2 linked regions of the Schizosaccharomyces pombe genome follow. Changing the gene in region 1 together with any one later gene gives a genetic interaction. Each region holds a gene or a part of one and is shown in the gene's direction. Other genes may lie near its edges.

Region 1 (5,986 bases):
GATTAGTGGTACAACGACATGCACTTCAGTCGATTACATCGTAAAGTTACGAAGTCTGTTTTCCTTAACCTACATATTAAAAATCAAATTCAAAGTCAAATTGTGAGAATTAAAATTAAAATAAAAATAAATTTACAAATTTATAAAAAACAAACATATAAATCAAGAACGAATGGTTCATCTCAGAATTAAGCACAGTAAAAATAGAAATAACCCCTTTAAAAGAATGTAACGTATTTTCAAATGAATATAACGAAATTAGTAGAAGAATCCTCATATCTGAGGTTTTTAAGGCGCATTAACGTTTAGCTATACGAAGTCTCTAAAGCAAAGACTTGAGAATAATTTTAATAGAAAGCTCTTTGGTTTTAACGAGAAAATACTCCAAAACCCTGGCGTCGTTAAGCTAGACAAATGATTAAGAAATATCAATAAAATAAATTTTTCTTAGACATCTCCGTACATCTCGGTAAATTCATAATGTTATTAAGAACAATCGTTATTTAGTTTTAAGATAAATATAAAATATCGTTATTATTAGCAGCGGCTATAGAAATGCTGCAATCAAGGACGCGATTTTTAGACACGAAGCAACAGCAAGAAAGCTGGTTGTTGTGCATAAAGAGCATTCTGACATTATTTTTGGGAATACATTTGTATAATAGTTATTGATTTAATTAGATAAAAAGAAAAAACAACATTCTGAAGAGAGTGTTTGCGAGCATCTATTCATAATGCCGAGGGCTATTTTTGAGGAAGATGCTGCACAATTAAAACTTGGTCCAGGTTGGATTTGAATTTTATTCTGTTGCTAATATAAAAAGAGTTTGAGAATGAGGATATGTTGACGGTTTCAGAGGCCAAAATCCTTATTGAAACAGTTCTGGCACAACGAGCACGCGAAACTAATGGTGAGATTCCAATGACTGAGTATGTCTTATTGTATGCATATTCTTTTTTAATTAACTAGGATAGTGTGATGAAAAAAACAGTAGCTTACTTCAATGTTTTTGCTCGGTTTAAAACGGCTGAAGCCACTTATGCATGTGAAAGGTACATAATTTCAAAGAATTGAATAGAATTTTAGAGGAAAATAGCCGTATGCAAATATTTGACTAACCTCATAGAATTCTTGGTAATCGATTCCATAAATTTGAACGTGCACAATTGGGAACACTCTGCTGCGAAGACGCTGAAGAGGCTAGGACCTTGATTCCTAGTCTCGCGAATAAAATTGATGACCAAAATCTTCAAGGCATCTTGGATGAGCTTTCCACTTTGCGTAAATTTCAAGATTAATGCAATAAATAGATCTCAGGCAAGTCTGTTTATTGTCAATTATGAAAACTTAAAAGGTTTCCGGTCTTATAAACTATTAGCTATATCAGGATTTATAATACGACGTTTTTGTCATTATTATTCCATAATTTATGAGGGGTCATAAAACTTTTTTTAACAAAATCTATGTTTTTTTATGCACCATACACTTCTTAATTAGTCTATTAAAAAAATATAATACAAACACTGAATACACGCGAAAAGGAATTTAGATAAAATGTATTAATTAGATTAAGTAAGTTTTAACAAGGATCATACTATTGTGAAGCAAGAAAAACTAAACATTTTGAATCAAATGGGCGTTCTTTGCTTCATAAAGGACTAGCAAGTTGAGTTTGAGGCAGGAAAACTTGAAGTATTTAAAATCGTTTACACATCCAGATAGCCGCTTTGCAACCCATTTGAATGGCATTGGTAAGCAATGCATGAGCTGGAGCTTCCTTTGCGTTCCAACCTTCGACTGCAGTGTTCAAATGCTCTAGCTCGTCATCTCGAAACTCTGCCAAATGGCTACGAATCTCTTTAAATTCTGGAGCTTTATTTTCCAAATGAGCCGTTTCACGTAGTTGGTCGTTATAGTGTCCGCCAATTACCGTTTCTACTGCCTCTGTACAAGCCATAGCTGCTTTGGTTCCAAGCAAAGCAGTTCCTGCTCCCAACGCAAATCCAGCGATGTCCCAGAAAGGACGTAAAAAGGTAGGACGGACTCTATTCTTTAAGACATAATTATCAAATGTTGCGAGATGGTACTTTTCTTGATCCCACATATGCTGAATGGTAGGTGCGACTTTGGGATCGGTAAATTGAAGGATAAAGTGCTGACCTTTGTAAATTTGATTAGCGCCTAATTCACCTGCTTGATCGACACGAATGACGCTGTCCAAAATATTTGAGTCTTTCTCGCTCAGTTCTTTACGGCCCATCGAAATTCTACGGCATGTTATAGAGGAGCGAAGAAAAGGAGAAACCGACTTGGTAGCAATGGGTATTAACTGTCTACGTGACAACATCTTTTGTAATGGTAAAAAGGCCTGAAATTACACAGAGTTATCAATTTTCAAAACGAAATTTTACTAATCAACAATAAACCAATATTTCTAATTCACTAATAGATTGAAATATTCGACGAAAGAGACTATGATGTTGATTGGGTGTGGAGGATTAGAATGTGAAGTTCTCTACCAAACCGAACGTTTTAGGCGGAAATGCTTAGTTGAGTAACACGTTAGGCTTGAGGTGTATTTCATATCAATCTCTGAACAAATCTGCAAAATTCAAGCTAGATGGTTAAGTTAAGAAGGAATTAAATTTAAGTGATTTGATGTTCACTCTATTTTTATGGAATAAAATATTCGATAAACTTGTCGTTTATTCTTTTGCTTGATTAACGCAGTGAATACCAGTTGCTTCAACTTTATTTTTAAGTCAAAATGAAAAATACATACTTAGTTTTTAAACTAAGAGATTCAATAAACAGTGGCGTAATTTCAGGAAAGAAGCAATGTATCATTTTTTTCCTTAGCTAAATGGCTTTGCTACAGTTTCATAGTGTTCGTCAATCTTGACGGATATAGAAGTTCAATAATAAAATGCTTCTTATAAACAATAAAAAAAAAAAACATATTTAAGCTGCAGTTTTAAAGTAAACTCCAATTTCCTATCTTTTTTCCAACCAATTCAACTCAACATTGTATTTTCGCTTAAAAAACTTTAAATTAATTACTAGTTCAACCGAAGGGGAATCCGAAGATATACAAATTTCCAGTATTACTGATATAACAAGTACAAGTAGAGACTCAAAGACACCCCATCACAATTAATTTTTGACTTGCTTAATAATTCAAGAATGTAATTTGGCATTATGGATTAATTTTCTTTGTTATAGAAAAAAAGCTCCAGAACCACACCCACCTCCCCCATCGAAAATTTACAATTTGAAATATGCGAAATCAATCATTTCTTTCCTTTTTCTAATTTAATCTTTTAAACACAAATGAGTACTTATGTTTTTCAGGCCTTCTCTCATTATTTTATAAAATAGCAATATCGTTAAATTCCGTTGTATCAAAGACGTCGTTTGAATGAGCTTGATTCTTTACCCCAAACCAACTTCGTATTTATATCAACCTTTTATAAAAGCATATTTTTCGCTAAACATGGCCATTTTTGAAATCAATAATTCTTTTTTAATTTGTGCTGTATCTATTGCTTTGAACCCTCTGCTATGGAATATTGCTGCACGTTCAGAATACAATCATAAGACTTTGACCAAATTGGCAAATGGCGACTCTAAGAAGGCCTGTTACATGCTAGCAGCTTGTATTTTTGTTGCCGGAATAGTTCGTGACTTAATTTATCAGAATGCTTTAAAACAACAACCTACGCTAGGTATCTTCATGAACCCTCTTGTGCAGGGTATAGCTAAGCTCATTTTTTGTTTTGGCAGCGTCCTTGTCTTATCGAGTATGTATAAGCTAGGACTTGTTGGTACATATCTTGGTGATTACTTTGGATTTCTGCTTCCAGAGCGTGTTTCTGGTTTCCCATTTAATGTCAACGATAACCCAATGTACAACGGTTCTACTCTTTGTTTCCTTTCTACAGCTCTGCGTTATGGAAAAGTTGCTGGCCTCCTTTTAACTTTGGAAGTCTTTTTCGTTTATAGAATAGCTTTGAAATTTGAAGAGTAAGTTGCCAACTGTTTAAATTTTTAAATTTTTCTTTACTCTAACCATTAATAGACCTTTTACTGCTAAAATTTACGCTGCTCGTGATAGCAAGCAAGCTAAAAAATCCGAGTGAAGCAGCTGATTTGAAGTGGCCATAAGTTAAAGCTTCATTAGAGTTTTTTATAAAAAAAAAAAAAAAAGGAACAATTTTAAATGGAATGTTCTGTTCATGACTAGTCCTTACCTTTACTAACGCTCCTCCTTTAACCGATTTTGCCCTATGTACTTTGACGACTTCAACGTCTGTATAATTATGCATAGTTTAACGCTTTTTTTTTCAAATTATTTAAGTGTGTTGATCGCGGTCTCAACACCATGATCCGATATTTTTATATTCATACTTATGTAAAAAATAATCTAATATTTTACACCATGTAAATTAACGTGCTTTCATTCTAAAATCAAATAAAATTCAAAACAAATATATTAGCAAACCAAAAAAACCCCGTTTTGACCAATTTATATGTACAAAATCAAACTCTATAAATCCAATCGTTCAAGAGGAAAAACAGAGTACAATTTCTAATTTATTTTCCAGAACGTTTAATAGATTTGACAATGCGATCAAGTTCTTGACGTTGATCTCCTTTTTCAGCTTTACGCTTTTTGATTTTAAGCTCAGGCTTACCGTCTTGTGTTTGTTCCAATTGATTTGAGCGTCTTTTACGACTTTCGTCCATAATTTTTTCCACCGTTTTAGTACGTTTGAAATGAGGATTTGTTGGATCAAGTGCAAAATTATGGTTAGTATATAGAGCAGCAAAACGTGGGTCACTGACATCAGCTTCGAATCCTTCCTGCAAGCCTTCCAAATTGGAGGCTTTTTTCTTAAGCTTGCGATTCTTCTTAAACTTTTCAGCCTTCAGTATACTCTTCATGTCAAAATGATCGAGCTGCTCAGAATCGTTTTCATCTTCACGAACAAGGTTTTCCAGTTCTTCTTTAGACGCGGCCGTAGGATCTTCAATTTGAGTATGCTTGCCCTTTTTGTTTTTCTTATTGTTACGACTAGCATCCTTGTCCTTAAAGAATGGATCATCAAAACCAAGATCAACGTCGGATCCTTCACCTTCATCGTCTTTTGTTTTCTTAAGCTGTCTCAATTCTTTCCGTCTTTGTTTTCTTTCAGCGGCCTTACGCTTGTATTTTTCAATAGTGGTTTCATCTTTTTCCGAAGAGTTCGCATTGTTATCAACATCAAAACCTGAAGTAAAAGTAACCTCCATCTCACCATTGGCGCCTTCAAGTTTGTCATCATCCTCAAAAGGGTTACTATTCGCTTGGAAGTCATCAGCATCACCACTTAATAACTTTTGGTAACGAGAACGAATAACATCTACATCCTCATCTTCAGATTCACTTGAGGCAATGTAAGCGCTAAAGTCTAAATCTTCAATATCCTGAGAAGTAAAAGCCTTTTTAATTAAATCCTTTCTGTGTGGATCCTCAGCATCCCACGAAAGTTTAACTTTTGAATGTTGCAATGCATCGGTGACAAAATCTCTCGGCTCATATTTTTCGGGCGCTTTAGTACATACTTCGCGAGATTCATCGTCGTCAAATGTAACATCATCTGGAATGAATCTTAAATCGTAAATATTAGCGCTAGTTTCATACTCAGCGCCATCACAAGTTTCGTATATAACCTTTGCCGTTCTTACACTATCACATTCCACTACTGCGTAATAGTAACGAAGCCTTTCTAATTGATACTGGCGTAATTTTACCATATCAAACTCGTTGCCTAAATCCTCCTCTATTAAAGCATCTTCCTCATCTTGATCAGACTCATTGTTATCAAAACCAAATTTTTGAGCCTCATGCAATTCGGCGCTAGAAGGTTGATTGTCAGCTGGAGTAAATATATCACGTGGAGGACCCTGAACATGTTCCGCAGCCATTCTGGATTTTCCAAATTC
Region 2 (3,804 bases), on another chromosome or scaffold:
GCTTTTTCTTAAAACTCTATAAACTTTGGAAGGTTACTCGAACCAAACTTGGATAAACATACGAAAGAAGAGATCCGTAAAAATGCAGGAATCGGAAAAGAACCCTAATTGTGTAGCAATTTTTATTAAATAATTTTTTTAATGTAAGAGCTGCATTGACAACTGCTTACAGTAAGGTTTAAATCAGTATTTGTCAAAGTCTTCGAGTAGCTTAAATTTTAGAAATATAATATTTGTTAATTTTTGAAGGAAATATTGAATTGGTTCAATAATCAAGGCTTTTTAACAGTTCCCTGTTAAATTAAATTAAATGTTGTTATTAAAATGTGGCCGAAAATTAAATTTGATTTAAACAAAAAAAAAATTTACGAGAATTTAGATTCATTTACCTAAAGTGTTAATGATTATATTTATTGCCTTCAAAATCCCTGCGTCGAAATAAATCCGGGCCAAGATGCATTAGGCTCATATTAATACTAACTGACAATAAAATATCAAAGTGTGAAGAAAAAATTTATAAATAGGTAGCGCGAAGGTGAAAAATCATACATTTGAACATCCATCAATATTAAGGAGAAAAGTAAATATAACAAATTTTAAGGGAAATTCTAGTGCTGGTAATTCAATGCAATACTACTACTGGAAAATAGAATAAGGAATTGAACGTCAAATGGCTTCTGTATAAATTTGTTAATGTCATATTTCCATATCTTTCAAGCGGCATTAAGCCATAAGGAAATCCAATTCTAATTGAATACAGTCAGAAAAAAGAACTCAAATACTCCTTTAAGATGTCTATTTAAACTGAAATACCTGCAAACAAGTAATTTAAAAGTTAGGGAAAAAACAAATTTAATTTTTAATAGGATTTTGTTAAAATTTAGTGGTACATGTATCCTCGTTTAAAATTAACCTTATTTAACATACAAAAAACGAATATGTTGCTTATTGAAGAATTCAAAGCTGGGCTTATAAAGTAAAGAATAAATTTTGAATTCCAAATACTGCAAATTTATTATGTTTTTAATAATACACATATTTTGAAAAGAAGATAGATCGTTGCTGAAGGAGCATGTCTTCCTCTTGCGATACTAACACTAACTAAAGACAGCCATGACTCAACAATTCTTTTGAGTTGTTTGAAGGGAAAAGTAAAATCTTTCAGTTATAATGTTGCCAAATAAGAGATCAAATCTTAATAATTTAGATGAGATTGCTTAAGTTTAGGCTCATCAATTCGATTGCTGACATTAAGATACAATTACAGAAAATAGTATTTTTGAAATCTCTCACTGAGGTCTGGACTTAGTACTTACTAAAGATAACATTTCAACACTCTACAAAGTGACTCATACTTTAGCTTTCTTGCTGCTACTCTCCCTTAATAAATGAGCTTGAACGAATTAATCGTTGCAGCTTTAAAATTATTCTGTCGACTTACTAATGGCATAAATTTACTTAAAAAAATATTTTTTAGATACGAGAAGTTTATAATAAAGAACAAAAGTCAGATTGCATATTTTTTTGCCAAGTTCAAATCGTTATCCAAAGTAGCTTGGTAAGCCGACAGAAAGTCTTTGATTTAATAAATATTCCAAACAAACATATGACAGTATTGTTCCATTAAAATAACTTTAGTTTCACTTGTAGGTTAGTTAATACCTAACTTAATAGTTGACCCTTCTATGACTAACTTTTAGTTTCATCATCAATGTTTTCTCTTGTGATTAGAAGAATTCATATAAGGAAATTGTGGTATATTACAGTATTCACAATTAACGCATCTATGTTCAGCGGATTCTTCAACAATCCAAGTCTACTTACACCAAACGAAAACCTACTTTTCCAGGTTGGTTTACATTATAGCTTTGCTGTTTAAAAAACGTAATGACAGCGATGAATTCGAATTTTTCTTATCCTGCATTAGGAGTGGATGGAATCAGCTCCCAAATATCACCAATTCGGGACGTTTGGTCCACGAATTTGCAACAAGAGATGAATCTTATAATGAGTCTAATAGAAAGGTATCCAGTTGTTTCTATGGATACAGAATTTCCAGGAGTAGTTGCTAGACCTCTTGGCGTCTTTAAAAGTAGTGATGACTACCACTATCAAACTTTACGGGCAAACGTAGATTCATTAAAAATCATTCAAATTGGGCTTGCTTTAAGTGACGAGGAAGGAAATGCCCCTGTCGAGGCATGTACATGGCAATTTAATTTTACATTCAATCTACAAGACGATATGTACGCTCCGGAAAGCATAGAGTTACTCACAAAAAGTGGCATTGACTTTAAGAAACATCAAGAGGTTGGCATAGAGCCTGCAGATTTTGCAGAGCTCCTCATTGGTAGTGGATTAGTTTTGCAAGAGGAGGTCACGTGGATAACGTTTCATAGTGGATATGACTTTGCCTATTTATTAAAAGCCATGACACAAATCCCTTTACCCGCTGAATATGAGGAGTTTTATAAAATTCTTTGTATTTATTTTCCGAAAAATTACGACATAAAATACATAATGAAATCTGTGTTGAACAACTCTAAAGGTCTTCAAGACATTGCTGACGATTTACAAATACATCGTATAGGACCCCAACATCAGGCTGGAAGTGATGCCTTGCTAACCGCGAGAATATTTTTCGAAATAAGGTCGAGGTATTTTGATGGTTCCATTGATTCCAGGATGCTCAACCAGCTATACGGTTTAGGCTCAACCGGTAGCGTTTTATGGCACAACAATTCATCTACCCCACAGATTCAATTCAGAGATCTTCCAGGTGCCCATCCTAGTCCTACTCCATCTAATGCTGGGATTCCCACCACTTTAACGAATACTTCTTCGGCACCTAATTTCGCCAATTCAACATTCAGATTTCCTCCTCGTGTAGTTTAGATCACGAGCTAGTTGAAAACATACCGTTAAAAAATTGAAGTCCTTGAAAGTACTTTCGGGATGCTTGTATTTTAACTTAATATATTCTCGTTTTCTCACGTATACCCTTGCTTGAACTTGTTTACTCGATATGCTTTTCTAGATTTTTTCCATAAAATCTATACTTTGGATTTTTATATGTTTTTCTTTTTATTTAAGAGATTGGTTGGAGTTTCCCGCTAATTCAGCATAAAAGTTTTTGTATCCACTCATTTTCGTGAGGAGCATTTTCCTTCTATTTTGTTGCGATGATTTACTTTAAAATTATTCATCTTCATTCCCAGCGAAATGAACTCTCTTGCATCTGGAAGCAAAAAAAGCCTTTCATCGGGTTTTGTATTAATAGATAATATAGTCCATTTCCTTCATATACTGATAATGTATCCGTGTATTTGTAATTCGTAATAGCTTAGCATCCAACCCAGCATCAACGGTGCAAACCGGCGTAGATTTCAAGTCTGATGTTTATCATCGGTCAACTCCAATGCTTCCCCAAAACAGCTCTATGTGCATGTTGTAACAAATCTTCATGCAAGCATCAACTTTAGTTAGTAAAGCTTTTTTTTTTTTGATAGGTGCTTTATCCTGTGATTTAAAATATTACAATCTCAAAACTATTATTTTAGTTTTTAGCTTTTATTTTATCACTAAGGTTCCCAAGCCAATGAACAAAATATCACCTACCTCGTCGTCCCAACCATTTCTTGAGATACTGAAAATTTTCAATAATTCTTCTAGTTAATTTGATCAAGCATAAAAGAATTACCTAAAATTTATTTTATAAAAACTCTAAGATCTTGTTTCTCTTGTTCGACATGCAGAAACTAATTTTTTATAACCTCGCTTAAATCTAGCTTAATTAGCTATAAT

What was found. Genes that interact genetically often act in the same process or in processes that back each other up.
Region 2: mutations in cho1 (region 1) and caf1 together harm fitness more than expected from each alone (negative genetic interaction), as found in Schizosaccharomyces pombe (one large-scale study listed by BioGRID).

The regions. Positions count from the first base shown.
Region 1 is NC_003423.3:1,054,928-1,060,913, forward strand, and holds cho1 (putative phosphatidyl-N-methylethanolamine N-methyltransferase), read left to right. Parts: upstream 1-3,436; 5' UTR 3,437-3,494; coding exon 3,495-4,024; exon of another isoform or gene 4,025-4,041; intron 4,042-4,079; coding exon 4,080-4,140; 3' UTR 4,141-4,199; downstream 4,200-5,986. Other genes in the region: DNA-directed RNA polymerase II complex subunit Rpb4, read left to right, coding at 735-786, 825-930, 976-1,053, 1,128-1,299; ubiquinone biosynthesis protein Coq7, read right to left, coding at 1,698-2,348; pre-rRNA processing protein Esf1, read right to left, coding at 4,595-5,986. UniProt on the Schizosaccharomyces pombe protein: Catalyzes the second two steps of the methylation pathway of phosphatidylcholine biosynthesis, the SAM-dependent methylation of phosphatidylmonomethylethanolamine (PMME) to phosphatidyldimethylethanolamine (PDME) and of PDME to phosphatidylcholine (PC).
Region 2 is NC_003421.2:1,964,930-1,968,733, reverse strand, and holds caf1 (CCR4-Not complex CAF1 family ribonuclease subunit 7/8), read left to right. Parts: upstream 1-1,879; 5' UTR 1,880-1,887; coding exon 1,888-2,895; 3' UTR 2,896-3,304; downstream 3,305-3,804. Other genes in the region: oligosaccharyltransferase complex zeta subunit Ost5, read left to right, coding at 1,389-1,431, 1,488-1,550, 1,701-1,879. UniProt on the Schizosaccharomyces pombe protein: Acts as the catalytic component of the CCR4-NOT core complex, which in the nucleus seems to be a general transcription factor, and in the cytoplasm the major mRNA deadenylase involved in mRNA turnover.